7 linked regions of the Sus scrofa genome follow. The protein of the gene in region 6 interacts with the protein of the main gene of each other region in a pairwise test. Links are inferred from orthologs where the notes say so. Each region holds a gene or a part of one and is shown on either strand. Other genes may lie near its edges.

What was found.
Region 1: the proteins of SIAH1 (region 6) and ATN1 interact in a two-hybrid assay, tested with the Homo sapiens proteins (2 studies listed by BioGRID and IntAct). The link is inferred for Sus scrofa from reciprocal best matches to the Homo sapiens genes SIAH1 and ATN1.
Region 2: the proteins of SIAH1 (region 6) and RAD51AP1 interact in binary tests that used the Homo sapiens proteins (3 or more experiments, as listed by UniProt). The two-hybrid records come from large-scale screens. The link is inferred for Sus scrofa from reciprocal best matches to the Homo sapiens genes SIAH1 and RAD51AP1.
Region 3: the proteins of SIAH1 (region 6) and TMEM43 interact in binary tests that used the Homo sapiens proteins (3 or more experiments, as listed by UniProt). The two-hybrid records come from large-scale screens. The link is inferred for Sus scrofa from reciprocal best matches to the Homo sapiens genes SIAH1 and TMEM43.
Region 4: the proteins of SIAH1 (region 6) and CTSK interact in a two-hybrid assay, tested with the Homo sapiens proteins (2 studies listed by BioGRID). The link is inferred for Sus scrofa from reciprocal best matches to the Homo sapiens genes SIAH1 and CTSK.
Region 5: the proteins of SIAH1 (region 6) and PRPF31 interact in binary tests that used the Homo sapiens proteins (3 or more experiments, as listed by UniProt). The two-hybrid records come from large-scale screens. The link is inferred for Sus scrofa from reciprocal best matches to the Homo sapiens genes SIAH1 and PRPF31.
Region 7: the proteins of SIAH1 (region 6) and NUMB interact in a two-hybrid assay, tested with the Homo sapiens proteins (2 studies listed by BioGRID and IntAct). The link is inferred for Sus scrofa from reciprocal best matches to the Homo sapiens genes SIAH1 and NUMB.

The regions. Positions count from the first base shown.
Region 1 is NC_010447.5:63,792,649-63,796,759, reverse strand, and holds the start of ATN1 (atrophin-1), read left to right. Parts: upstream 1-1,374; 5' UTR 1,375-1,384; intron 1,385-1,526; coding exon of another isoform or gene 1,527-1,687; intron 1,688-2,728; coding exon of another isoform or gene 2,729-2,771; intron 2,772-4,111. Other genes in the region: uncharacterized protein LOC110260590, read right to left, coding at 520-1,374, 1,527-1,687, 2,729-2,771. UniProt on the Homo sapiens protein: Transcriptional corepressor. Recruits NR2E1 to repress transcription. Promotes vascular smooth cell (VSMC) migration and orientation. Corepressor of MTG8 transcriptional repression.
Region 2 is NC_010447.5:65,883,711-65,887,210, forward strand, and holds part of RAD51AP1 (RAD51-associated protein 1), read right to left. Parts: intron 2,416-3,500; coding exon 2,329-2,415; intron 1,833-2,328; coding exon 1,677-1,832; intron 1-1,676. UniProt on the Homo sapiens protein: Structure-specific DNA-binding protein involved in DNA repair by promoting RAD51-mediated homologous recombination.
Region 3 is NC_010455.5:70,403,714-70,407,213, reverse strand, and holds part of TMEM43 (transmembrane protein 43), read left to right. Parts: coding exon 1-76; intron 77-642; coding exon 643-737; intron 738-1,693; coding exon 1,694-1,743; intron 1,744-1,958; coding exon 1,959-2,028; intron 2,029-2,714; coding exon 2,715-2,785; intron 2,786-3,500. UniProt on the Homo sapiens protein: May have an important role in maintaining nuclear envelope structure by organizing protein complexes at the inner nuclear membrane. Required for retaining emerin at the inner nuclear membrane.
Region 4 is NC_010446.5:98,391,563-98,395,825, reverse strand, and holds the start of CTSK (cathepsin K precursor), read right to left. Parts: upstream 2,801-4,263; 5' UTR 2,800-2,800; coding exon 2,677-2,799; intron 2,062-2,676; coding exon 1,939-2,061; intron 1,854-1,938; coding exon 1,698-1,853; intron 35-1,697; coding exon 1-34. UniProt on the Homo sapiens protein: Thiol protease involved in osteoclastic bone resorption and may participate partially in the disorder of bone remodeling. Displays potent endoprotease activity against fibrinogen at acid pH. May play an important role in extracellular matrix degradation.
Region 5 is NC_010448.4:55,998,048-56,001,507, reverse strand, and holds part of PRPF31 (U4/U6 small nuclear ribonucleoprotein Prp31), read left to right. Parts: intron 1-894; coding exon 895-1,052; intron 1,053-2,297; coding exon 2,298-2,387; intron 2,388-3,460. UniProt on the Homo sapiens protein: Involved in pre-mRNA splicing as component of the spliceosome. Required for the assembly of the U4/U5/U6 tri-snRNP complex, one of the building blocks of the spliceosome.
Region 6 is NC_010448.4:36,359,273-36,363,359, forward strand, and holds the start of SIAH1 (E3 ubiquitin-protein ligase SIAH1), read left to right. Parts: upstream 1-1,287; 5' UTR 1,288-1,970; coding exon 1,971-2,061; intron 2,062-3,570; exon of another isoform or gene 3,571-3,633; coding exon of another isoform or gene 3,634-3,718; intron 3,719-4,087. UniProt on the Homo sapiens protein: E3 ubiquitin-protein ligase that mediates ubiquitination and subsequent proteasomal degradation of target proteins.
Region 7 is NC_010449.5:96,795,891-96,800,141, reverse strand, and holds the start of NUMB (protein numb homolog), read left to right. Parts: upstream 1-1,451; 5' UTR 1,452-1,680; intron 1,681-4,251. UniProt on the Homo sapiens protein: Regulates clathrin-mediated receptor endocytosis. Plays a role in the process of neurogenesis.

The sequences.
Region 1 (4,111 bases), on a different chromosome or scaffold from region 6:
TTCTCTTCCCACCCAGAACCCAGTCCTCCTCGAATATGCACCTGGCCCCACCTCCTTCATCCTTTCTTAAGGTTCTTCTAGCTTTGCTTTCTCTTTCCCCATGACATCACTAGGTTTGTCATTCCCCCAACTTCTTACCTTCCCCATCCCTTTGTCAACACCAGTCACCCCCAAACTCTTCACTCTCCTCCAGAAATCCCGTTCTCCTGTATATGTCTCCATCTTTTCAATATCTTCCCCTCCTTATGACCCCCAAACTTCCAGCCCCTTTGCACGATTGCCTCCCAAACCTTTCCTGCTACGCTAGGTGTCTGCCAGACACTATCACCCCAAGCTTCTTTCACCTCCCCTGTCACACATCTCATTGTCCCCAGGAAGCTCTGTCTCGCCCCAACCTAACCCCATTACCCCATCTCTGCTACATACCCACAACCTCCCCCCTTGCCTCTGCCACACAGCCCTGGGCCCCCAAACTTCTCCAGCCTCCCCCATCTCTGCCCCTACAACCCACGGCTCCTCCTACCCAGCCCGCTCCCGCGCCAGGCCCGCGGGCTCCCCGCATTCCGCCACGGCGAACCCCTCCCCGCGCCCCGGCCCCCTCGGCCTCGGTCTTGGCCAACTCGCGCGGCGCCTCCCCCTTTCCGATCCCCCTCTCCGCCCCTCCTCGCCGCTCGCCTCGCGCTCCCTCCCTCGCGGCTCCCTCCCTGCCCCTCTCTCCTCCGTTCCTCCGCGCTCCCTCCTTCTCCCTCTTCCTCCCTTCTCCCATCCCCCTCTCCCAGGCTCCCTCCCTTCGCCGTCCGCTTTCCTGTGCGAGTCGCCGGACGCGCCGCCCAGCCCGCCCGCCCGCAGCCCCGCGTCGGGCCGGGGCCTCGGGCCGGGACCCGTTTCAGGGGGACCGCCGGCCTCAGGGAGGAGCCAGGAGGGGGCGAGGGAGAAGACCGCCCGGGAAGGGGCGGGGGCCGCGGGCGGAGGCCGCCTAGGGGGCCGGGGATCGCGCAAGTGCGGGCTGCGCGGGGCGGGCGCGGGCGGCTGGCGGGAGGCAGCGGGTCGGAGCCGCGCGGAGGGCCGGCCTGGCCGCGGGGGCGGACGGGCGGCGCGGCCCGGACGTTCTGGGCAGCCGGGGTAGGCGGCGGGCCTGGGGAGGGGCAGAACTAGAGCGGGGACTGGGATTTGCTTCGGGGGCCGGCGGGCGATCGGGGCCAGGTGGGGGAAGAGGGAAGATGGGGGCCGCCCTCCGGGGGGGTCGGGGCCGCCGCCGCCGCCGTCGCGGCGGCGACTGAAGCCGGAAAGAGAGGGGGGCGGGGGAGCGGCCGCCGCCGCCCCCAGAGGCGCCGGAGCCCCAAATCCCGTTCGGAGCCAGCCAGCCGTCCCGAGCTACAAACAGGTAAGATCTGCTGCCGCCCGGGCCTTGCGCTCGCCCGGGTTCTGGCCCGCGGCTCCCCACCCCCACCCCTCCCAGTTCCCCCTCCTGCCGCCGCCGCCGCCGCCGCCTCCATTTGTTATTTTTCCCCGATCTGGTCCCCTACTGCGGGCCCTGGCTGGCCTGAGACTGGGGGCTCAGGGGGTGGGGCCGGCCCCGGAGGAGGGATGGGGGCCTGGACGCCCGGAGGATCAGGAAGGTGGGGGGAGGTGGGAGAGTCACAGGAGGAGGGCTGGTGGGGCGGGAGTGTGGCCAGAATCCCGGGACCTAAAGAGGAACCCCCGAGGTGGAGGGTTGGCGCAGGAAAACCGGGATGCCCGTCAGGGGGGCCTCGGGGCGAAGGCAAAAAGGAATGGAGAGATGGCAACGAGGTGGGGCAGGAGGACTCCAGGAAAAGCCTCAAAGGCCCAGAACCCGGTTTCAGATCCTGGGGTTCGGGGTGCTAGGTATAGAAGGGAGGTGGGAAATGGGGAAGGGGTGTGGTAGGTGGAAAGAGAGGGATTGTAGCTGATGAGGGAGGAGAATGGAACTGAGGGGGGCTCAGAGATGGCCGAGGAGAGGGCCACCCTTGAAAAGAAGGGGAGGTGCTCCCGAGTGGAAGTGGGAAGGCGATGCCTTTGTGACTCAATTTTCTTTCCTCTACTCCAGGTCACCTCTGACCTTGTTTTTGCAATCCCAGACATAGGTGCTTCTTGGAGAGGGGCACGCTAGGGCCTGGTAGTGTGGGTCCTCCCGCAACTGATGAGGAAGATGCGAACACTGAAGGGAGAGTTTAGGGAGGAAGGGTTTCCGGGAGGGTGGAAAAAGAGGGGAGCATTTGGGCAATCTTACAGGCACACCAAACAAGTCGTGACCCCCACCCTCAAACCCCCAGAACACCCCTGCGCCTCTAGCTGTGGTTTCCTTAAGCGGTGGGTGGATCTTCATTAGTGTTTTGTGCTCCGAGATTTCCCTTTGTGCGTAGACTTTTTTTCTGCCGGGGTAGGTACTCTTAAGCTCCCTTCCCTGAGGGTGCTGTAGGAGGACAGGAGTTGCTTTGGCAACTGGAGGGGGAGTGACTGGTAGATGGACCCCTGGGACAGACTCTTGAGGGGCAAGTTCTGCCTCTTCGTTGCCATGGCAGTGACCCAGTGGGATGTCCAATAGATGGGGGTTCTGCATCTCCACTGGGCCTTTCAGCCTCTGGCTATGTCCTTGGGACGCTCGGCTGGATTCTGAAGGATGTTTCGGGTGCTGCTGGTGGAGAGGAGTTTCCCCAAGGGTCCACCGTGTCCACCCAGCAGTCTTTGGAACAGGTAGACATGTTACTTGCAGGTGGTAGTTGTTTCTCCAGGTCCCTCCCCTTAGGCATGGTGGGAGGATGGGAATGCTCCTGTTCCAAGTTATACCATCTTTTGGCAGTTCTTGCTGGCCTCTATCTCCCTTGTTATTAGGAAGTTTTTGGATGGTCTTGTTGCTTCTTTGCACAGATATTCTTCCATTTTCTTCACCTTGAGTCTTCCTGCCCAAGTATCCCTTTTCCTCTGTCCCAGACTCTTCCCCACAGTAACGCCTTCGCTCATCTGACCTCCAACCTTCCGTTTCTCTGAACTTGTAGGGATGGCTGGGCTCTCCACGCGCCTCCCAGGTGAGGGTCCCCCAGGGGAGAGGGCTGTAAAACAGCCTGGTGCAGTGGAAATATTCCAGAACAGGAGCCTGGAGACCTGGGTCTAGTCCTGGCTGTACCTACTAACTGTGACCTTGGGCAAGTCACTTCCCTTTGAGCCTTGGCTTCATTGTCCGATGAAGGGGTTGTAGATAAGATGATATCTGAGGCCCCGCTGACAACTGTAGATTCTAAGGCTTAGGCCAATGCCTTGTTATCTGCTGGCCTGGGCTACATTGTTATCTAGGAGTTACTTTGGACTGGTTTGTTAGTCTGGCAGGTTTGGAATGATGGTGGGGGCTGGGCCAGTGGTCTTGAAATTTACCCTGCAAGCCCATCCTGGAAATCCTTGTGCCTTGGATATAATGCAGTCTTTCTGATATCTTCCTCATATTGCTCCCTTAATTTCTTTTCCTGTTCTTACTTTGAGACTATTTCCCTATCTTTGGTGCCTAGGCTTAGTGTTTTGCAGATACATAGTAGGTGCTTTATAAATCAGAGAAGGAATCTGAGCTACTCTTAGCGCAGCTTGTTGGTGCTGAAATATGCTCCAGGTTCAGGAAGGTCCGTGCAACCCAACCCTACCTCTTTCTCGCTCCTGCCACTCCTTATCCCCAGGGTCACCTACCTTTTATGAGTGCTTTTCTCCTTCAGAGCTCCTCATTGCTAATTTTATCAGATTCCAGCTGATTAAAAAAGTTAGGGTGGGGGCGGGGGCACACCAGGCTTTCTCTGTTCTTCAAGAACATTTTGCTGCTTTCCTCTGGCCTTTTGGATCCCATAACTCTCACCGACAGTGAACAAGTTCTGGGATAGGAAGGAGGGATGAGCACCTGCCTTTAGACGAGCTGGCAGAGACACATGAGGCACAGTTTTTTCTGTTGTACTTTTGTTGGGATTATTTTCCCCTTTGGTTATGTTGGGTTTTGTTCTTTAGGGTTTTGGAGGGTTGACGATATTTGAAAACCAATGTACCGAACAGCTCAATACTGTGGTAAATAGTTGTAGTGGAAGAGAAATGACCTGTTTACGGGGCTCTAAGTTCA
Region 2 (3,500 bases), on a different chromosome or scaffold from region 6:
AATTTATGGATTTATTCATTTTAATTTTAGTTTGTATACCATGATGCTGTCAAGGTCACTATGCTTCCCATTTGCCCTAATCTCTGAATGAATCTGAAAACTATCACAAAAAAATACAGGTTTCACATCATTCCGACCTCAAAATGATTCGTGAATTTCCATTACTTATGGAAAAAAATTCTACACCTCTTAGGATGGGTCAGGGACCCTGCACAAACCTGCGCCAGGGGGCCTCTGCAGCCTCTACCACATTCTCCCTTCCCTGCAAGCCTCACTGGATACCTTGTATGTGTGCATGTGTTTCCACATCTTTTTTTTTTTTTTCTTCCAGTTTTATTGAGATATAACTGACATGCAGAACTATGTAAGTTTAAGGTGTTCAGCATAACGATGTGACTTACATGCATCACGAAATGATGACCACAATGGGTTTAGTGAACATTGACCATTTCATACAGGTACAAAATCAAAGAAATAGAAAATAAAATGTTCCTTGTGATGAGAACTCTAGGATTTGCTCTCTTACTTACTTTCATGTATAACATAGCACAGTGTTAATTTACTCATCATGTATGTTACACCCCAGTACTTGTTTATCTCATAACTGTAAGCCTGGTCCTCCTGACTGCCTTCATCCAGTTCCTCCTCCAACATCTGCTTCTGGTAACCACAAGTCTGATCTCTTTTTCTGTGAGTTTGTTTGTAAAGTAGAATTGACCTGAAACACCATGTTAGTTCCTGGTCCACAACATAGTGATTCGCTAATTCTATACGTTTCAAAATGACCACCACAGTTAAGTCAGTTACAGGATGTCACTTTACAAGGGTGTTATGCAATTACTGACTGTATTCCCCACACTGCACATTTCATGTCATGAACTCATTTATTTTGCAGTTAGAGGTTTGTCCATCTCAACTCCCTCAACTATTTCTTTCCTCTCTGGCAACCATGTTTGTTCTCTGTATTTATGACTGTATCTGTTCTGTTTGATTTGCTTTATTTTTAGATTCCACACCTAAGTGAAATCACATCTAAGTGAAATCACACAGTATTTGTCTTTCTCTGTCTGACTTACTTCACTTAATAAAATGCCCTCCAGGTCCATCCACACTGTTGCAAGTGGCAAGAATTCATTCTTCTCTTTGGCTGAGTAGTATTCCACTGGGTGTGTGTGTGTGCATTAAATACATACATATGCACCACATCTTCTTTATCCATCCATCTGCTGCCAGGCCCTCAGGTTGCTTCCATACCTTGGTTATTGTGAACAATGCTGCAATGAACATAGGGCGTGCACATATCTTTTCCAATCAGTTTCTATTTTCTTTGGATAAATACCCAGGAGTGGAACTGCCGGATCATCAGGTAGTTCTATTTTTAATTTTTTGAGGAATCCCCAGCATCACCGAGTTCTTGTACGTGCGCTTGTCCATTCTGTTGTTTATACCCTTCTATCCGTCAGAAGTGCTATTTCACCCCAATGCTACTCATTTTTCAAGGCATGGCTTAAAGGTCACCTCCAGATACAGCTTCCCCCAAATGCCACAGCTGAATTTAACAGTCCTGAGTGTGCACACAGTCTGTGCACACCAAACGTTTAGCAGTGTTTTGCATACATCAATGGTCTTTTTACTGACTCTCCATGGGGTTAATGCAGAGTTAGGACATAACTCACCTGTTGCAAAGTCTGGTTCGGAGTCACTGTCGCCGTCACCGTTGCCGTCACGGCCGTCCAGGAGGATCTTCCTCTGCTGGACCGTGGCTTGGGATGCTGCCTTTCTCCTCCCTCGAGCACCTCGAGAATCACCTTCCTCGGTGATCTTATCCAGATCTGCAGGACACACAAGTCAACAAAACTTTTTGTGCCAGGTACCATGAAAGAACTGTGGAGTGGACTTCTATTGCACCTGCTGCTTGTATCTGCCCCACTTCGTCCTTCCTGTGCTTCTAGCAATAGATCACACAGCCCAATCCAGGCCAATAATTCATTAGTCTCCTGGCACCAGTGTGAGTTAAGCCTAAGTCCAAGACCCAAACTGACAGAGTCTTTCCCAAGAATTTTCAAACTGGAGCTGGGAAGATGTAGGCCCTTTCTTCAGTGTTCAAGTGCCGTCAACTAGAATCCAAGGGCAGTCACGACCCTTCACCAGGGAAGAAGCTGGGTCTGCAGTGAAAGAGGGGAAAACTGAAACAGAAAGAGACGAAGGAGAAGAGGTGACAAGAACCTTCACAATTTAAAGACCTTGGTTCTAGTTACAGTTTCAAGAATGTAAGTAAAAGCTAGAAAAAGATGGAAAAAATAAATATTATTAATACAAAAAACTCACCTAAATAATCACTGGCTACGCTGCAGTTGGAGATATGAGGAGACTTAACTGTCGTTTCTGCGTTTCCACTGCCATGTTCATCAGTGCCTAAATGCAAGGAAGAAAAAAAGGACGTGCAGACGCACCTTAGTCAAGCAATGTCTAGAAACAGGAAGGTAAGTGCTCAAACCTAATAGCATTTAGCTACAGACCAGTACCAGTACCAAACCAGCACCAAGCTCTTACTTGGAAAGGCTAACAAACATATAGTTGAAGTCACACAGACTTAATTAGTTCAAATTCAGGCTCAACCACTTTACCTCTACGACCAGGAGAAAGATGCCTATGTTCCATAAGATTCAATCTTCTCATCTATAATGTGGAGATGAAAACTCTGCGGGGATTAAATGTTGATCGAATGTGGAAACTGCTTATCGTAGTGCCTGGCATACAGGTAACAGTTCATAAATATTAACTGTCATTTCTAGGTAGGCAGATCCATGCTTTCACTAACATAAAGACTTCTGAATCATTATTATAACTTTAAAGTGATCGGGAGTGTTTTAAGAGGACTTTAAGTCATGATGATTGGGACTACAAATCCTAGGGCTACGGGGCACATTACTCTAGAAGGGGTAGTTCCAGGGAAACCCTACTATACATGCCACAAAGTTTTATAGGAAGAGACTTTCATTTTCTTAATTTTACTTATTTGGCATGTGGCAGCATGTGGAAGTTCCCAGTTCAGGGATCAAACCTGTTTCACAGCAGTGATCTAAGTCACTGCAGTGACCAATACTGGATTTCTATCCCATTGAGCCATAGGAAACTCCCTCATTTTCTCCATTTTATTTATTTTTTATTTTTGTCTTTTCTAGGGCCACACTTGTGGCATATGGAGGTTCCCAGGCTAGGGGTCTAATTGGCGCTATAGCCGCCGGCCTACACCACAGCCACAGCAACGCTGGATCCTGAACCCACTGAGCGAGGCCAGGGATTGAACCTACAACCTCATAGTTCCTCGTCAGATTCGTTAACCACTGAGCCACGTCAGGAACTCCTCTTCATTTTAGTTATAGGACAATTATCTTTTTAAGTTTCTTTGATTCTTGATTACTAAAAGGGCCACTAATCAACACTATCTCATTTATTTATGACCAAGAGGCCAGAGTGACTTAAACATTTATACCCCT
Region 3 (3,500 bases), on a different chromosome or scaffold from region 6:
TGAGAGCATTCACAGTGTGGCTCCGGAGAATGAGGGGAAGCTGGTGCACATCATTGGGGCCTTGCGGACATCCAAGGTAAGCTTGGCGGTGGCTGCTGACTGTGGAGAGGGTCTGGTTGAGGATTTGAAATCATGGGCCTTGGAGACGGACGGACACACTTAGTGTGACTCAGTGCACCACTTGGCAGCCTTCTAGACCCATCTTTCCTGCATCTCATTGTCCTCCTGGTAAGATGAGGAAATAATTGTAACAAGCTGGGGGCTGGTTCTAAAGCTGGGCCGGATTCGGTAGCTAACCTCCTGACACAGTCTCTGACTGTGCCATGACCGTCACAAGAGGTGCTTTAACAATGGTGATGGGTTTGTGTCTGGTACAGGGTCTACTGTCCGAACCCTGACACCCTCTCTGGGCACTGCACCCTCGCACCTGTTGCCTGAGCTGTGCATGAGGCTCGTCACAGGCTTGCGTGTTCGGCACTGGGGTGTACAGCTCCCTGCGGCTCCCCTCAGTGCTCAGCTGTGGGTTCTCCGTGCTCCCCTGCCCCCTGATGTTTCTCCCCCAGCCCAGCTCTCCCTGAGCCAGCTATTCTGGCCTGGTATGAGTCTTGCCCTATATTTTTCTTGGTTTGTTTCTTTTTGAAGCTCTTGTCTGATCCAAACTATGGGGTCCACCTTCCGGCTGTGAAGCTGCGGCGCCACGTGGAAATGTACCAGTGGGTGGAAACTGAGGAGTCCAGGTGAGAGCTAGGGTGGAGAGTCAGCTGGGGTGGGGGAGGCACGGGGGTCCAGGTGACATGCAGATGGCTTTCATCTTGACACTTCAGAAATTTAGGTTATAAACTCTTCCTCTGGGAGTTCCCATTGTGGCTCAGTGATTAACAAACCCAACTAGCCTCCCTGAGGACTCAGGTTCGATCCCTGGCTTTGCTCAGTGGGTTAAGGATCTGGCATTGCTGTAAGCTGTGGTGTAGGTTGCAGATGTGGCTCGGATCCTTTGTTGCTGTGGCTGTGGTGTAAGCTGGCAGCTGTAGCTCCAATTTGATCCCTAGCCTGGGAACTTCCATATGCCGCAGTTGCGGCCCTAAAAGACCAAATAAATAAATAAATTAATTAATTAAAAATAAATAAATAAACTCTTCCTCTGGGAGAAATGTTAAGTTGCCCCCAATTCTAACTTGATGGCCTTGTTTGGAGGCACAGGAATCTCCTGCAGAGTGATTTGGAGGAGAAGGCTATTACTCCTAGGGCCGTTGCTGCTCTGGCTGAGGACAGAGCTCTCTCGAATGCTGGCCCATCTTCTCTCCCATGGGGGTATGGCTGGGGGTGGCCTCCTGAGTTACATCCTGTCAGTTCTAATAGGACTCTCAGACAGGCTCTCATTGGCCACACTCTGAGTGAAGGTGGCTGGGGGAGCCTGAGTGGCTCAGCCTGGGGAAGGACAGCCTTGGGGCTCCTACAGGGCTGTCCCAGAGCAGAAGATGAGGGCAGGTCACTGTTCCCATGGGCAGGGCTGGGACCCCAGTGTGAACTGGAGAGGCTGGTTTCAGCGCAGGGAGGCCTTCAAGGGCTGGAGCTGGTGGCTGCTCCACATGGGGAATCTGGCCAGGGAGCTCCGAGGTTGCTTCTGAGGTGCTTAGAGATGGGAGCTGCTCGGAAAGCTGGGCTGACTCAGGGCTGCCGTCTTCCCCTGCAGGGAGCACACCGAGGATGGGCAGGTGAAGACAGAGACGAGGTACTCCTACAGTGAGTACGGGGCCCCAAGCCACCCTGCACCCCTGTGCTCTGTCCCCCTGCTAGCGGGCCTCCAGAGCCCTGCTCTCCCATCTGTCCAGCGAGGCCCTGGGCGCTGCCCCTTTGGACCTCGGGTGGTCACAGACTTGGCTAAGAGGCCGGGGCCAGTGGGCCTCACTCCTGTGTGCACTTTTCCATGGTTTCTGCGTCCCCTCTCTCCACAACAGACACCGAATGGAGGTCAGAAATCATCAACAGCAGAAACTTTGACCGAGAGATTGGCCACAAAAACCCCAGGTGAGGGATGAGTCCCAGGCCTTAGCGTAGCCTCACTGGCCACTGACAGGTTCTCAGCCTCAGCTTTCTCATCTGAGTAATGGGACTGGATTACTTTTGTCTCATGAGCCAAGGAAAATGTGAGACTGGATCTGAGGCCAGCTCCTGTGCTGGTTGCCAGGAACACAGGGGCAAGACTCCCCTGGGCCCCAGCAACCACTCCTCAAATAGGTCACGGGCATAAGGCTGACCTCAGTGCCTGGGGCGGGGGTCAGTGGCAGTGAGGTGGGAGGACAGTCAGCCTGGACTTTCAGGGGGCAGCAGCATTTGAGCTGGCCCTTTGGGGGGGCCCCACATAGGAAGGTTAGCTGGCGGTGGGGGTGGGCTAGCTAACTCAGGCTGGCAGTGCCGCCATGAGCTGGGCTCTGCTTTGAATGTGCGCTGTGGGGTTTGGATGCTGGCAGGGCTGAGAAGGGTCAGTGAGGGTGTGAAGTCCATAGATGGGCCATCAGATGGCAGTAGAACAGGCTCCTAGGGGTCCAGGCAGGAGGGTATGAAGCCCTGGGGGCCAGGAGGCAAGAGAGGGGTCTGCCGGGGCGGAGAGTGCAGGAGGGAAAGGTAAGACGTATGGTGTTGGGCTGGGCTGGACTTGGGGGAGTACCGTGGGTGGGGGGCCCTTCACCCACAACTCCCCCTCTCTCCCACAGTGCAATGGCTGTGGAGTCATTCACCGCAACTGCCCCCTTCGTCCAGATCGGCAGGTTTTTCCTCTCGGCAGGTGAATCTTGGGCCCCTTCAGACGAGCTAGCACTGCCCCAGAGCCCCACACTTCCACTCGGCCACTTCCGAGGAGCCGGGGCCCCAGCACTCAGCCCTCAGAAGCTAACGGGGTCCCCTTGCCCTGGGCATGGGGTCAGCCAGCACTTACCCAGCATCGTGCTTCTGGCAGAGGCCAGAGGGAAAGTGTGTCCCCTGGAGGTTGGGACCCATGAGAATACCGCTACTTGGGCCAGGTTTCCCTGAAACCTGCTCCAGGGGAGCAGCTGCCATGCACCGTGTGCTCGTGGGGCTGATCAGACAGAGCCGAGGGCTCTTTCTCAGGCTTCCGTGGAGCTGGCAGTGGGGACAAGGCCGGGGCTTCATCTCTGAGCCCTGCCCGCATCCAGCCCTGGAATTGACTCCAGAGAGAGGCCTGCAAGGGACAGGGTTGCACCACTGGCCATAGAAACTCCTGGGGCTCTGTCCCTGGGCCTGACCCAGGAAGGAGGGGGAGAGGAAACTGAGGGCGCAGAAAGCTAGGCCGAGGGAGGAAAGGGTGGGTGAGCCAGGCCTGGACATGGGTGGTGGGGTCGCCAGGTGGAGTGGCTGCCGGGCTAGCCCTTCCAGAACTGCGGTCACTCTCACTGATGGGGAGAGGGGGCAGGGAGGCTTCCTGCAGGAGATGGAGACTGACACAGGGCTGGCAGTGCAGTAGGATGGTGCTGGAGGAGGGA
Region 4 (4,263 bases), on a different chromosome or scaffold from region 6:
CAGAGCTAAAAGCCCAACAGGAACCACACTGACCCTGAGAGACATAGCAGAGAAATTATCAGTCATTGTTGTCATACTTTGTTTATTCCTTCTACCTGTCCTATGAAATTCTATACATTTTATAAATTCTAGCACCTGTCCCCTTTGCTATGAAGTATTCCTATTTCCCTTCATTTAGCATTTATTGCATTGTTCTATTGTTCTATTGTTGTCACTATTGTTCCCATTAGCTGTACTAAAGCAGAAGAGAATACAGATCTTCCTCCAATAAATCCATTATAAATTGAAAACATAGTAATTTGAAAATGCATTTAATACCTCTAATATACTGAACATTATAGCTGAGCCTAGCCTACTTTAAACATACTCAGAACACTTAGGGTAGCCTAAAGGTGGGCAAAATCATCTAACATAAGGACTGTTTTATAATAACATGTTGACTATGTCATGTCATCTACTGAATACTGTACTGAAAGTGAGAAGCAGAATGACTGTAAGGGTACTGGTCGTTTACCCTCAGGATCACGTGACTCACTGGGAGTGGTGGCTCACTGCCACAGCCCAGCATTAAGAGATGACATCATACCACTTATCACTAGCCTGGGAAATGTTCAAAATTCAAAACTTGAAGTACAGTTTCTGTGGAATGCCTATCACTTTCACACCATCATGAAGACAAAAAAATCATAAGGTGAACCATCAGAAGGTGGGGGCCATCTGCATTGCCTGTGCAATAGAATATGACCTTGAGTAAATTACTAAACATCTCTGTACCTCACTCTCCTTATGTGTAAATTGTGGATAATAACAATATACTTAATGGGATTATAAGGATTAAAAAATTAATTCATATAAAGGATGAACTACTACGTATAATAATAATAGTCTCTCAAAAAGTGCTAGCTATTGTTATTAGTGTTTGCTCAGCTAGATTATCCATTTTTCTTTCTTTCCTGTCCTTTCTATTTTTTAAGGTTGGGGATTTCTTGAGGACACTGGTTATATTCTTAGTCATCTTGAAGCTCTGTTGCCTAGAACTATATCTGGTAGGTTCTGAAAAAAAAATGAGTTTGTTGAATAAATGCTAAATCAGCGGTTCATCTGGTTGATGTAATCAGCATAGTTAAGGTTGTGGGAAAACTGACATTCTCACGCTGGTAAGAATGTAAGATTGTAAAAACTTTTTTGGGATGATTCCCTCTGACCTATTGATTCCAATTTTAGGATTTATTTTGCATAAATATTTGTATATATGTACAAAATATATGCACACAGGTGCTTACAGCAATACCACTTATAAAAATAGACAAACCAGAAATAACTTAAATGTACAAAAATAGGTGATGAGGTGTTCCTGCTGTGGAGCAACAGGATCTGTGGCATCTTGGGAACCCTGGGATGCAGGTTCAATCCCAGGCCAGGCACAGTAGGTTAAGGATCTGGCATTGCTGCAGCTGCGGCTCAGGTCAGGTCTGATCTCTGGCCAGGGACCTCCACATGTCACAGGACAGCCAAAAAAAAAAAAAATGCTGATGAGTTAAATAACAGAATAGGCTTTATTTATTCTCTTAGCAGGGGAAGAGGTAAATTAATTCTTTGCCCTCTCTCCTGGTGTCCTCCTACCTTAAGATAAAGAAACAGAAAAAGGAAGCAGTCATGCCAGCTTATATACTCACACCCAAGAAAAAAGAGGGTACCTGGTTTTTGACAGGAGTAACATATCCTTTCTTCCGATAATCAATAGAGTCTGGGGTTCTGCCTTCCCAGTCTGGGATATAAAGGGTGTCATTACTGCGGGAATGAGAGGGGGGTACTTTGAGTCCAGTCATCTTCTGAACCACTTCTTCACTGGTCTGGTACAAAGAAGAAAGAAGCCAGGCATAAGAAAGGAACCAAGGCAAACAGGGCAGATAGACCAGGAGCTGAGGCTCAACTCACCATATCGCCCAAGTGGTTCATGGCCAGTTCATACGTATGAACCCCAAGAGAGGCCTCAAGATTATGGATGGAAATATGCTTCAGGTTTTTTTCCCAAATTAAACGCCGAGAGATTTCATCCACCTACACAGAGCATTGTCAGTATTGGCATAGACTGTATCCTGTGTAGAAAGTTACATACCTAATACCATGCAGGTTTTTAGGAGAAGAGATTAAATTTAAAATCACAGAAGTTTACAATCTAGTTGGGGAAATAATCATGGGATTGAGAGCATACAAAGAGAAATACGTAAACAAATGCAAATAATAGGATACAAACCTCTAGAGAGATGTATAGAAAAAAAAAAAAACTGCTTACGGATTAATCGCATTAATCTGAGAAGCCTTCCCGAAAGAGAAATATAAGGCAGTTATAAAGAAAAGGAAGGGTAAGACTTGATGGAGGGTGAATAGAGGATTAGGAATGGAAAGTATATGTTAAGGAGTTCCCTGGTGGCCTAGTGGTTAAGGATCCAGCATTGTCACTGCCATGATACAGTTTCAATCCCTGGCCCACAGGACTTCCACATGCCACAGGTGTGGCCAAAAAGAGAAAAGTGTATGTTAATAGTCAGGGAACAGGGGCAGATTTGCTTGAGGTAATTAAGGTATTGGGTTGAGGAAGGGAGTCTGGAACCTAGGATTGGAGGTCTCAGGTTCCAGCCCTCCCACCATGTTCCCCTCCAGGTTCCCAGGCACCTTGCTGTTATACTGCTTCCTGTAGGTCTTCTTCCATAGCTCCCACTGGGTATCCAGTATCTCCTCAGGGTATAGAGCAGAGCTCATCACAGGCAGCAGTAGTACAACCTTGAGCCCCCACATCCTGGGGGAAGGAGATAATTAGGGGAGACACTTCTATTTGCCAAGGGGTTCCTAACCTGGCTTGGGAATGAGGAAATAGCTGGAACCATATTCTCAGACCAGTAATTCTTAATCTTTAGGTCACAGACTTCCATGAGAAGCTAACAAAAATTTGCAACCCACTGTAGTCCCTCTCACCAGAAAAATGAATGCACACACAATAATTCTGGGGAGTTTATGAACCCAAAGTTAAAAACCCCTTTCTCTGAAACATGAGGCAGAAGAAAACTAGGCTTTGTAAGGAAAGCAGAAAAATTGAGGGTGATTTCCATATGATAAAACAAACAGTGATAGGAAGGGTCTGGGTTTGGATGGAGTGCTGATACCTCTGGTTCCAAGTACTTTGACCTAGGAAGATTCCACACACACACACTTGCACAGACAACCAGAAAAGGTTTAGAAAATGGACAATCAGGATGAGCACAAAAACTGCTCCAATGTCCATGCAGACTTGAAGGAGATGGAAAAAACAAATGCAGGATGGGATGAATGGGTTGGAGAATATACACAAAGGAGAGATTTCCAGCTAAGTTTTTGCTTCCTGATCATTTCTAGGCATTCTTTTGTTCTTTGCCTAAATTCTGATGCTTCTGATCTTACCAGGAGAGGACAAGGGAAATTTTGACAGCATTTCCTTTTCTCTCTCAGGTGTATTCTGTCTTCTTAGGTATTTCTTCCTCCTTTCTCTTCAGGAAACTGTCCTAATCTCAACCAGCTGCTGTGGGCAGGAAAGCTTTTCTTTCTTTTTCGACCAAAACCCCTACAAAACCCTCTGCATCTGCCTCACAGGACAAAAAACCTCAGAACCAAAGTTTGCTAGAAGAACGTTAGACAGAAAAGGAATGTTCTATGATCATTAGAGACACAGCTTTTCAGAAGTTTAGCTTCATTCACTTCTTGTGGTGGCTTGTAATTATGTGTCCTCCATTTTAAGCGCAAGTTAGTCTGTAGCAAGTCACACAGCTTGCATAATTTTCAAATTACGTCCATTTTTGTGCGATCTTTGCAAACTGACAAAATGTCCAGCACAACATTTAGTATCTGGAGTATTAAGGGGCACTGAAATGTCTTGAAGAGTAGGAAGTACTGAGCTACCACCTCCCAAACCTCTCTTCCTGTTAGTAAATTAACCCTTTGATATCTTTGGCCCAAACAAAAACCCCAAGAGGCCACTCTTTGAGGGTTGGGCAAAGGATCCTCTATATTTTTTGCTTTCACTAGCAACCACATATACGTATTTACAAATCATAAAAGGAGTCCTAAAGATTTCCAGACAGATTTTATTTGTCCAGGAAATGACCTAAGAAGGGCATTAGTTTTCATCCACAAAGCCTATAAAGTTCATTTTGATCCCCAAGTCACTATGTTCCTAATTTTCCTAAAAATGGAGAGCTAGCAGGAATGAGAAGCTAAAAGACAGAGTAA
Region 5 (3,460 bases), about 20 Mb from region 6:
GGGTGTGCCAGCTTCCTGTTGCTGCTGTAACAGACGACCACAGACCAAGAGGCTTAAACAGTGCAGTTTACCACCCGACCGTTGTGGAGGTCACACGTCCACCAGGGGCCTCACCGGGCTAAAATGAAGGGGTGGGGAAGGAGGGCTGGTCCTGGGGTGGGGGGCGGGGAGGGAGGAAGCCGCGTTCCCTGCCGTTTCCAGCGTCCAGAGGCGCCTGCCCTCCTTGGGGGGGGGGGGGCTCCTCCATCCTGGCCATCCCTTCTGACTCCGCCCTTCTCTCCTGCCGTCGAGGACCCTGCGGTGACACTGAGCCGCCCAGGTCCTGCAGGACAGTCTCCCCTTCTCAGGGCCCTGCCGAGTCCCCTTGGCTGTATTCAGGCACAACTTCTGGGGCTTGCGATGTCAGTGACCGTGGGGCGCTGTTCTGCTCCCGCACAGGCGTTGGAGGCTTGTTTCGAGGATTCACGTGTTGGATGAGACAGTGGGCCACATCCTCAGAAACCCCCAGCACAGGGCCCCGCCCACAGTGGTCCCCATCAGAGGGAGAACGTGTTACCCACCGCTCCTCTTCCCATCCCCCACGCCTGCAGACGCTCCAGGGGACCTAGATGCCGTGCCACACTGGGCCGTGTGGGCACGTGCTCCCGGTGTGGTGAAAACCGCTCTCAAGCACAGAGCGGGGGGGGGGAGGCCCCCCGCAGCTTTGCAGGCTCTGGGGTCAGGTTCCTGTTGGGCCAGTTGCTTCACTTCTCTAAGCCACCTCTGAATGCCCCCTGGAGTGGGACACCTGGCCCTCCCTGGCGGGGCCGCCTAGGCTCCAACACAGTGACCCCCGCACGTGCACACACACCCCCCCGCCCCCGCCTGCCTTCTGACTCCCGCCCTCCTGCGCAGGTGTGGCCGGCGGCCTGACCAACCTCTCCAAGATGCCCGCCTGCAACATCATGCTGCTCGGCGCCCAGCGCAAGACGCTGTCCGGCTTCTCGTCCACCTCGGTGCTGCCACACACCGGCTACATCTACCACAGCGACATCGTGCAGTCCCTGCCCCCGGTGAGCCCCCAGCCCCACCGCACCTGCCATGCCCCACAGGGCAGCTCCCCAGGGCCCGCGGCTCCCCTGTGACCCCGGTGCATGGAACCCTAGAGGATGCCCCACATGGGTTAAGGATGCCACAGCTGATGCGCCAGTTTGGGATGCTGGCCGCGCCACTTCGCAGCTGGGCCAGAGGCCTGAGTGCTGAGCCTTGGCCTCCCTGTCTGGAAGCTGGGGGAGTGAACCTGCTTCAGGGGCCGCGACGTGGACTCAGTCATACGAGAAACACTCTGAGGGCAGGCCTCACACATCAAAAGTGATGGAAGCGTGAGATCGGGGTTCCCAAGGCCATGGTCAGGTTCAGTGACCCCCAGAAGGGCTTGCAGAGCTCACCTCGAGCTGATCCAGGTTCATCACGTCGTGGGAACCCAGACGAACACCAGCCAGGGAGAAGCGTGAGGGCAGGGTCTGGAAGCACCAAACAGGCACCACATGAGACAGGACACAGTCGCCACCAGGACGCCCAGCGGGGCCTCAGGCCTCCGTCTCTACCTGGCTCAGGCAGAGATGGGGTTGCCTGGTGAGAGACCCCACCCTGAAACACAGGGCTGCACGCTAGCTTAGCCAGGGCCCCCACCAGGACGCCCAGGAGCCAGGGCCAAGGCCAGGCCTCTTCGGGCAGGGTTCAGTTCTCCGCTGCGCTGGCTAACTGGGTTCAGTTCTCCTATCGTTGCTAACTGGGACTTGGGGGCTCATGTATCATCTTGGTATTTCTCAGAGCTCCAGCCCCTGCCTTTCAGGTACACTGATGGATTTTTTAAAAATATTTTAAAATACATTTTGGCTGCTCCTGCAGCATGCTGAAGTTCCTGGGCCAGGGATCAAACCCATGCCACAGCAGCTGCCCCAGGATTCTTAACCCACTGCACCACAGCGGCTACACTGGGTCCTGAACCCACTGCACCACAAGGCAACTCTTATTTGATTTTATTCATTTATTTATTTTAATTGTAACATGTTTTCTCAGTATTTCATCGTCTTGCCTCTGTGTTAATGCATCTCTGTTGTCTGGGGAGATGGGAAGGTGGGTGAGAGGAGACACCGACCGCAACATTTTGCTATTGTTACACGTTATTCCAGTAACGACAGCAGTGAAGACAAAAGCTGGTGTGGGAAACGGAGCCCATGGCGGCAGGAGTTCTGGAAACGGCTGTGATCTGATTGTATCTTCACGCTGACTCTGCCTCTCTGTCGTTGCTCCAGGATCTCCGGCGGAAAGCGGCCCGGCTGGTGGCCGCCAAGTGCACGCTGGCAGCGCGCGTGGACAGTTTCCACGAGAGTACGGAGGGGAAGGTGAGGGGCAGCCGGCATCTGTCTGCATGTCTGCGGTCTGGTGGGGGTGGGGGGAGCTGTGATCAGAGGACCCCCACCCCCACCCCGTCTGCGCTGTCCTGACGGTGGAGGTGGGAGTGTTTGTGCCCCCCCACCCCCAGGTCCACTTCCCCTGCCCCTGCTGTACCAGTTTCCCGTCACTGCTCAGCCTAGTGGCCTAAAGCGTTGCAGGGCTACTGACTTAAAGTTCCCTGGGTCCGGAGCCCGTGGTGGTTCACTGGGCCGAGGTCACGGTGTCGGCAGAATTGTGTCCTCGGAGGGTCGCTCCGCCGCCTTTTCCAGCTTCCACAGGCCACCTGCGCCCCTCGGCTCGTGGCACTTGCCTCCCTCTCCGAAGCCAGTGCGGCACCTTCCCGCCTCTGCCTGACTCTGCATCTGTCTTCACGCCTCCGACTCCTTTGAGGTCCCAGGGATTACACTGGGCCCCTGGGATCCCCCAGGATCGGACCATCTAGGGCACCTCCCCATTTCAGGATCCTTAACTTAATCACATGGCCGCTCATAAAATCAAATAAGAGTTCCCTTGTGGTGCAGTGGGTTAAGGATCCTGGGGTGGCTGCTGTGGCTGGGGTTTGATCCCTGGCCCGGGCGAGGTGACGGTTCATAAGGACCAGAGAGTGGCTCACAGACACCTTTGGGGGTGGGGGAGGCTTGCTTGGCCTACGACATGGGGGTCCGTGCCCTCCACCAGCACTGTCACCCTTCAGTACCCATTCCAGCAACCTCGCCTCCTTGGCACACTTGTTCTGCGAGGGTAGGTGTTTCTGTCTTGTGCACCTTCGTCTCCCAGGCTCCCGGCCTGGCACAGCGTTGAGGGATCTGGTCTCGCTCTCTCTGACCCCCGGTCTGGATGCCGGGGTCCAGCAGTGCACCCGCAGACAGAAGCCCTGCCCCGCGACGTTTCCATTCCCGTTGGAGGCGGGGCAAGGAGACGCAGGCCGATCTGCTGTGTGTCCAGTGGTGCTGAGCAGAGGCTGGGGAGGTTGGACTGACTAACCACATGTCAGGGAGGGCTTCTCCAAGGAGGTGAGGGT
Region 6 (4,087 bases):
TACTTCCATATTTTGGAATCTGTACCACCTGTAATGTACGTAATTTACCCATCTCCCTTAATCCATGTAAAAGCATGCAAGGCTGGCAGTACTGTTCTGATTTTACAGTTGAGTAGGTGGTGAAAGCTGGGTTTGAATCCCAGTGTAGATGACTCCGGAACTCTTCCATTTTTACTGTCGTGACTGACTTACTGAGAAATGTGTCCATAGATTAATGGTTTTCAGACAGTGTTGTAAGCTTCAATACAGGTCCTTTGGAAGTTGGAGGAAAAAAACTTTTTAGTTTGAGGAATTTGTCATCCTTTTTACTTGTTTTACAAATTTGGACTCTGTCTTCATACTGTTTGGAAAGAGTTTTTCTGCCTAAAACATTTAAAAGTCTTCTACTTTAGAAACCCAACACCTAGCTAGAGTGAATATGTATTAAAAAATAAAGACATTGGTAATAATAATTTAGATTTGTCCGTGGACAGATTATATTTTCAGTTATGTTTCAGTTCCTAATGATGTTTTGTCTAATATCAAAATGAGACTGAGGTGACTGAATACTATTAATAGGATGGGGAAGTGATTTGAATTAAAATTTTATGCTGAAAATGGACAATCTACAATTTACACAGGGTTCACTCTCCACTACAAGCTCTTGCTCCCTTTAAAGGCTGCCCTAAGCGTGATGTAATGACAGGTTAAACCTCTGAATGCTGGAGCTGACGCAATGAGAATCTGAGGCCCAGGACTTTATTGGGACAAGGGTAATGCTTGTTTAAAAACAAAACAAGCTATTTTGTTTAATGAGGGCGTTTAAGATGGCTTTCCCAGAGTGGGAAGAGAATAAAATCTCAATTTGGACGTTGAAGTAGAAGTTTAATATGGTTATGTGTTTACGACTCTCACTGCGACGGCTTCTCGAATCGAGAAAGGAAGTTTGAAATAAGGTGCTGACGGCGGTAAAAATGGAGAAGTGAGTTAGAATTGAGGAAATAAGGTAGTTGACATCTGATAAATAGTTAATGAAGTAGACAAATGCTTTTGCTATATAAAAATCCGGAGTTTGCACGGTTAACTGGCAGAGTATAGAGCAGAGAAGAGTGCTTGTCTGGCCACGTATTTTCCATATATTCTATGTAGCGCTATGAAACCACCCCAAATTGCGATATCCGACTGTTTGGGCCTACTGAAACGGAGTGTTTCCACCTCACGTAAGCCGGTGGAAAAGCTGAGGCGTGCGGTATGTCTCCGGGGATCGCGAGGTTCTGCGGAGCTGGGTAGCTGTGTGGGAGTTGCGCGCTGCATGCTCGGGATTCTTGCCAGAGCCGTGCAGGAGCGACTGCGAGCCCTGGAGCCGCCCTAGGCCGAGTGGGGCGGAGCTTGCAGCCCCGCCTCCATGCGCCGGCCCGCCCCTCTCCTGCCGCGGCAGCCACCGCCCTGAGTGCTTTGAGCCTTCGGCCGGCTGGCAATCTGCGTTGGAGCAGGCTCTCCCAGCGGCAGCCCGGCCCAGGCCTCCAAATGGCTCTCCCCGCGGGCCGGACCCTGCAGCGGTAGCTCCAGAGCTGGGACTGAGAGCTGCACCGCTTCGTCCAGTCGCTGCTGCGCACTCTCCAGCCCTGTCCTTCACCGAGCTGGCCAGAGCCTAGCCGATGAATTTGGGAAGACAAACTTGGGAGACAGACGAAGGTTTAGGGCCCAGCAGAGGACAGCTCAGCAATGGCTCCCATTTTTGGAGACGCAGGCGAATTTGAGCTCATGGGGAGGTGTGGTCGACTCCTCTCGGGGCGGGAGGGTGCTTCATTTCTCTGCCGCTGTAGCCGGTGCTTCTGAGGAGTGAATGGAGTGTATGGGGCATGGCACGTGCCTTCCTGTCTTGAAAAGTTGACCCTGGACAAATTTAGGAACGGAAGGTGTCCAGTAGGGCCCTCTGTTACAAATAGTCTCTATTCGTGGGGGAAAGGCTATGAGCTGCCTGGCTTCTCATGACCGGGAAGTCTCCCTTACCTTTTCTGTACTCCTGGAGGGGCGTCTTGCTCACTTGTTTACCAGCATCCGGGACAAGGAAGAGAAAAGGTATTACTGTTAAGAGACTGGGTTGCTTAAATTGTGAATTGGGCAAGTTGTTATAAGCTGGTGGAATTTGAATGGATCAGGGAATGGCTGCAGCGTAATTGAGCTGGAGATGTTTCTTTTGAGCAGCTCTACTTTTCTCAGTTTAAAACAAACTTCAGGTTATGCAATGACTCCTCCAGGGTTGTCCAGACACTTGAATCCTTGATTCCTACTGCAGGTCTGCTGTGTTCTTAGGATTCCTTTTCTGTTTGAAGATGGAGCTGGGTTCCATCTTCTGAGCTTTGGGAGGTTTTAGCAGCTGCTGTCCTGTAATACTTTCATTCATAAGAATTACAAGCTACATTTTGCTTGCTTTTCACACTTTGAATAGGAATTTAAATCGTGCTTTTTCTACAGTGTTTGGAAAAATAATAAATATGTGTTATATCATAAGTCTGAACTATTGATGATAAATGTGTAACTATTTTCCTAGGTCAAGAAATTAAACAGTAATGCTTTGCTTGCTTAGTAGTTATATTATGTTGAATACAAACTGAGTTTACTGCCTCCTGACGCGATTTGTTGTTTTGGCGTAGTGAATTGAAAGGCATTGGTGGCTTAGATCATTTTGTGCTGAAGGAACCACTTCCCAGTTACTACGTTGCTCTCTTAAAATAAGCAGCATAAAATGGACTATGAAGTAAGCATACAGCACACATACAGGGCATTTTGGTAATGCTAAGCCCATTGTTCTGCTAGTGACCTAAAATAAAATGCATAGATCATCATATGCACAAAAAAATCTCCTGGGGAAAACTGGATTACAGGAGAGTTCCTTTATATTGGTCTAGAACACCTGGGTTACACAGGGCTTCAGATGGTAAGAATTGATTCCTGTTGTCTTAAATCCTTGTGATGGGCCACATTATGATAGAATCCTGTGGTACTTTTGTTTCTCCTTGAACTTTAGTCCTTTAGTGACAGTGATCTTTCCGATAGAATAATTACAGTTAGGGAAAATATGAAATCTGAAGAGTTAAATTTTAGTTTGATAGAAATATGGCTTAGGGTTCTTGGGAATATACTCTTAAGGACGTCCGTAGACTGATCTTTTGTCATCCCCAAGAAAATGGCCTACCGTATCCCAGCAAAGGTAGATTCCTGGGAAAAGCTGCTAGTTTATCTTTCATTCACCCTGACACATAGTTAACATTGTTGATCATTTCTTCCAGATGGCATTTATTTCATAAATAGTGTTTATTGGTGTGCTGATGAATGCTTCAGCAACACTGGTGAACTTTAGGGTACGAGGCATTCTTTACCTGTTGACTCTATCCCTCACCTCCACTGTTGTGTGAGTCTCTCTGGTGCTTTTGATCTTTATTTTCTTGACTCTCCTTCACCTTTGCAAATTATACTGGTTTATATTGTAGAATGGAAGTAGAATGATTTACTGTGTCTAAATACTGGACTCAGAACTTTTATGAGAGGATGGCCCTCCATTTCTCTTCTACTTTCTCACTTTTGAAGGGGGCATGGATCAGTAGGAAACAAGATTAATTCCTAGCTGGTGTTAACTTTCCATGAAGATGGATGATGAAGAGGAGGTGGATGGTGGGATGGCAGCAGACCCTTCCCCTTGTCGCCCCTTTCATTCCCCAAATTACTCCTAGAGCAGGTAACCGTTCATCATTAGGAGGAATTAATCAAAGTCAGTACCCTGGTGATCCTTTGGATCACATGTAACTCCCTGGAGCACATGTAACAGCTGACTCAGAATGAGTAGGGGAGGTGGGGGAGAAAGTCCAGTCAAAACTGATTTTATTGCACTTAAGCTCCTTCTTGTTTATGGTCCAGTTTCTATTTTAGCATTTATTCCACGTAGTCCATCCAAGTATGATTTTTAACATTTTTTTTTTTTATTTTTTTTTATTTTTTTGTCTTTTTGTCTGTTGTTGTTGTTGTTGCTATTTCTTGGGCCGCTCCCGCGGCATATGGAGGTTCCCAGGCCAGGGGTTGAATCGGAGCTGTAGCCACCGGCCTACAC
Region 7 (4,251 bases), on a different chromosome or scaffold from region 6:
AAATTGGAAGGTGAAGATGAGAGAAGGGGGAGGAAAGTTCCGGAAAATAACTAGGAAAAGACATCTTATTGTTACGTAGAGTTGCTGGAGGAATAATTTCCTCTTAGTTTGGTGATGGAAGTATGTAGTTTATTTAAACGTGACTAAAAATATATGTTAGAAAATAGACAATTTTGAGGGAGATAACAAACCATGCAGTTTTAGACTTCTTATTGCTTGCTGGCAAAGGAAAGAAGGGTAAATAGAAGAAATATGGAACAAAGAGTTAGCAGGAAGAAGTAAGGAGCAAAGTCCAGATTCTTGGTTCCACAGCAAGTCCCCAACCATAAAGTGCTGTTTAAGAGGGAAGTACATCCTCAACCTGTTCCAGTCCATCCTTGAGTATGTTTCATGACCCATGGGGTTTATGTTATAGGTGGAATTGTGAGGAGGGTACATTTAAATCTGATTTAGAAACTGAAAGGGTAATTAGGTGAGCATTTTGTTATTTATGAACAGGCAGAGTGGGCAGAAATGAAAAAGAAAAGCAAAAAGCTAATGGTGGATATATTTCTAGGAGTACAAGAGTTTTTATAGCAACACCAGATTTCTCAAAAGTGCCTACTGTGATTTGTACCCAAATGAATAAAAAATGCAATCATTTATTCTTGTACATTGTGCCATGTGAGAAAAGAACTGCAATTCATTCAATGGTCTTAATTTAGACTGCTGGGAAGAGAGGTTCAGAAAAAAAGACAAGCTTTTAAAGTATCTGACACACATCTAGTAGGGCTATTTAAGAACTGCTGAGCATAGAAAGCAAGTTACGGGGAGCTGAATTCTCCTTTTCAGAGCATCACAAGGGTAAAATGTGGCCCATATAGTCCAAACTTGCTGATGGTTGCCTGGTCCCTTGCAGGAGACATCCAGCGCTGCGTCTGAAAGCTGCAGAACTCTCAACATACCACTTCAATTCATTAACGACGTTTATAACTGCAACCAAAGTGGACTAACTTCAGTGGTGGTTCTTTGCCCTTTAGCATGGAGATGAACTTTAAGGTAACTGAGCACCTTAGGACTTCAAGCGAAGAGGAGGAAATTTTCATCTACGTGCTTTTCTTTCAAGAAGCCGCTAATGAGTCTTTAAACGCCAACTCTGATGTTGCTGTTGGTAAGTACTGCCCTCTGGGTGAGCAGGCAGTGGTAAGTTTCTCCTTACAGAGAGGAAGTTGGAGAAAGGGATGTTTACAGAGTCAATTTTACAACAAAGAGTTAACCTTTCCCCTCCGACAATAAGCGCCTGCCCCTTCCTTGCTTTCTACTGCGCAACCAAACTGCCCAAGCTCGAACCAACAGTCGCCGCCACATCCCTTGCAGGTTGATTTAATAGACACTTTCTGCAGCCTATCAGGATTTCGAACTGCCCAACCGTCAACCAATTACAACTAAAGCTGGGCTTGGGACGGTCCAGGTCCGGGAGGGGGCTAATACCGGGTCCAGGAAAAGGGGCGGTAAGGAAGCTATGACGGACGGGTAAACTAAGCCAATAAGAGCAGAGAGCTGTATCACCACTATCCAATGGAGAGGTAGGAAGTGTGAAACGGGGTGGGCCTGTTGTCATGGGGGAGGTGGTGGCGCTTGGTGGCTGCCGGCGGCCGAGGTAGAGGCAGTGGCGCTGGAGTTGGTCGAGGATAGCGGCAGGTGAGTGCCTGTAACGCGGGCCTGAAGGCTGAGGGCCATCTCCGAGCGAAAACTCCAGCTCGGTCATCCGGAGGCGGAGGCCTGCGGAAGGGGGCCTGGGCTGCAGGCCGGGTCGGGCCCGGGCCGGGGCCAGGGCGGGGGCGGTGGCCGCGAGTTCGCGCTGACTGGGCTAGTGCGAGAACCGCCCGGCTCCCGGCGGCGGAGTTCGCGCTGGCAAGGTAGGCTGGGGCCGGACTCAAGCGAGTTGGGCCGGGAGCTTCCTTGGGACGCCCAGCCAGCCGCTCGGGTCTGGGGCACTGACTGGCTGCGGGTGTGTGAGGGGTAGGTCCGTAGGGAGACGGGAGCGACTGGGCTCCTAGAGAGGGGATGGCGGGTTACGACTTGGTCCGAGGGCAGGGTGACTCGGGAATACCCAGGACAGCTTCGGAGCGAGGAAAAAGTGGAAACAGGGAATCCCGGGAGCGGCCCGAGCGGAGAAAGCCGGGGAGGGGCTCGGGGGGCCGTAGACTGGGAGTGGCTTGGGTTCGAGAGAGAAGAGAGACCGAGGGAGGTCGGGGTCCAGGGTACTGGGAGCAGCCGGGGTCGGAGAAAGGGCGTCTAGGAAAGACAGGGAGGGGGCTGAGCACCCTCCTGAGAAGGGCGGCTGTCCGAGGGAGAAGCGCTCTTGGACTGTTACGGATCTTCGGAGGGTCTGACCCATGGAGATCTTGAACAAGTTAGGAACCGGAGCGCCCTGCCCCCCACCGCTGGTCTGGGATGGAAGATCCTAGATCAGACTGGGAACTCCTGGGTCTGAGGATCCACAAGAGATCAGGGGAAAAAAAATCCTCATGGGGGTAGCTTGGGTTTGACGTCAGGGTGAGGGGTCTAGCTGAGGAGTGGAAGTTCTCTCAGCTGGAGTTAAATCAAGGAAAATGATACGGGTAGGCGGGGAAAAGTAGTTTCCTTGTAGGAAGGGAGTAGAAGATAGGGCGTAGTAGGAAGGAGCCAGAAAGTTGCCCAGGAAGCGTGGTCTTGTGGAAACTGGCCAGAACCGTAGATATGAGAAATTAACATAGGGCCCTTAATAGGTTGTAAGGACCTAAGAAATAGAAGTTTCAGCTTCACAATACTAAGATGCCATCTAGGATCAGAGAAAGTGTTTTAAGAGCAAGGTTGTGACTCGCATTCCATTGCTTTAGAAATTTGTTTTAGGACGACAGCAATAATGCTAGAAAATAAGGACGTTGGCAGGATGGGAGATTTGAATGGGAAAAGGAGTAGCCGAGATAAAGGAGTAGGACTGCGGACTTGATCAGCAAGAGGAGGGGCATGAAGAGGACAGACTTACTTATGTCAATTTAAAAATAAGTTTGAATTCTAGTTCCACCACCTAGCTTCGACAACTTAACCTCTCTCTGTGCTGAAGTTTCATCTGTATAATAGAGTTCCTACTTTTAAGGGTTGTTTTCTCATGTGAGTTAATGTTTTGTGGAACTTTTAGGCTGATGACTGGCACAGAGTAAGCACTGTGTACTGGATTATCAAATGTGTAGAAGATAAAGGAAGACCTGAATTCCTTAATGCGGTTGTTCTCAAACTTTGATTTGCACCAGAATCACCTGGAGGACTTGTTAAACAGCAGTCTGCTAGCTCTACTGATTCAGTTAGGGCTGGGTTTGGGTCTGAGAATTTGCATTTATCTCAGGTGATGCTTGTATTGGTCAGGGGACCACACTTCAAGAACCTCTTGCTTTTTTGAAAAGAGTAATAATACCAACCTTAAAATACCTGTCTGCCCTGCTAGGGATGAGTAGAAGCAACTTGCAAAAGAAAAAACCCAAAAACCTAATATAAGAGAAACCCTGTCCTAAGTCTATGTTTTTCAAACTGTAGATTATGATTCATTAGTAATTTATAAAATCAATTTAGTGGTCTTACCACCAGTTTTGAAAATGAAATTAAATAGAAAAGAATTGACTAGCATTTCACATGGTAATGGAAAATATTGTTTTGGGAAATTTAGTTCACACATGTGTACTAGATCAGAATGTAAAATGTATTTCTCATAGTCAAAAGAGATATAAAAAACTCTTTTTGCCATGCATTGGAACCCTTCAGTAGGAGCATTCAGGGACTGGGTTTATTATTTATTTTTTGTTTTGTGGTAATTCTTCTCAGGTGGTGATACATTCTATCAGGTTTCTTCAGTTTCTGATCTGGTTTCTCCTGTGTTTGCCTTATCACATATGGTGTTGTGCTTCTTTTAGATATTGAGGCTCTTTGGCGTGAGGACTAAAGGGAATTTGAGGCAGAGAAATGAAATTGAATGGTCTTTCTTGATGTGGTCCACTTTTGTTTCACTTGTGCCGTTTTGGTTACCTTTTCTTTTTTACCGCTGTACTATAAAGGACTGTTTGTAAAAAACCTAAGTATATACAGACATGTTGACAGTAAACAACTAACACTGAAACAGACTGGTTTGAGAACAGTTCATGTATAGAAAGTAGGCAAAAACCAAAAAAGACACGTTTAAAAAGAGGAAAGCAAAAGGGTGTTTCCTTTTTAGAGTAAAGGTATTTTAAAGCTTTT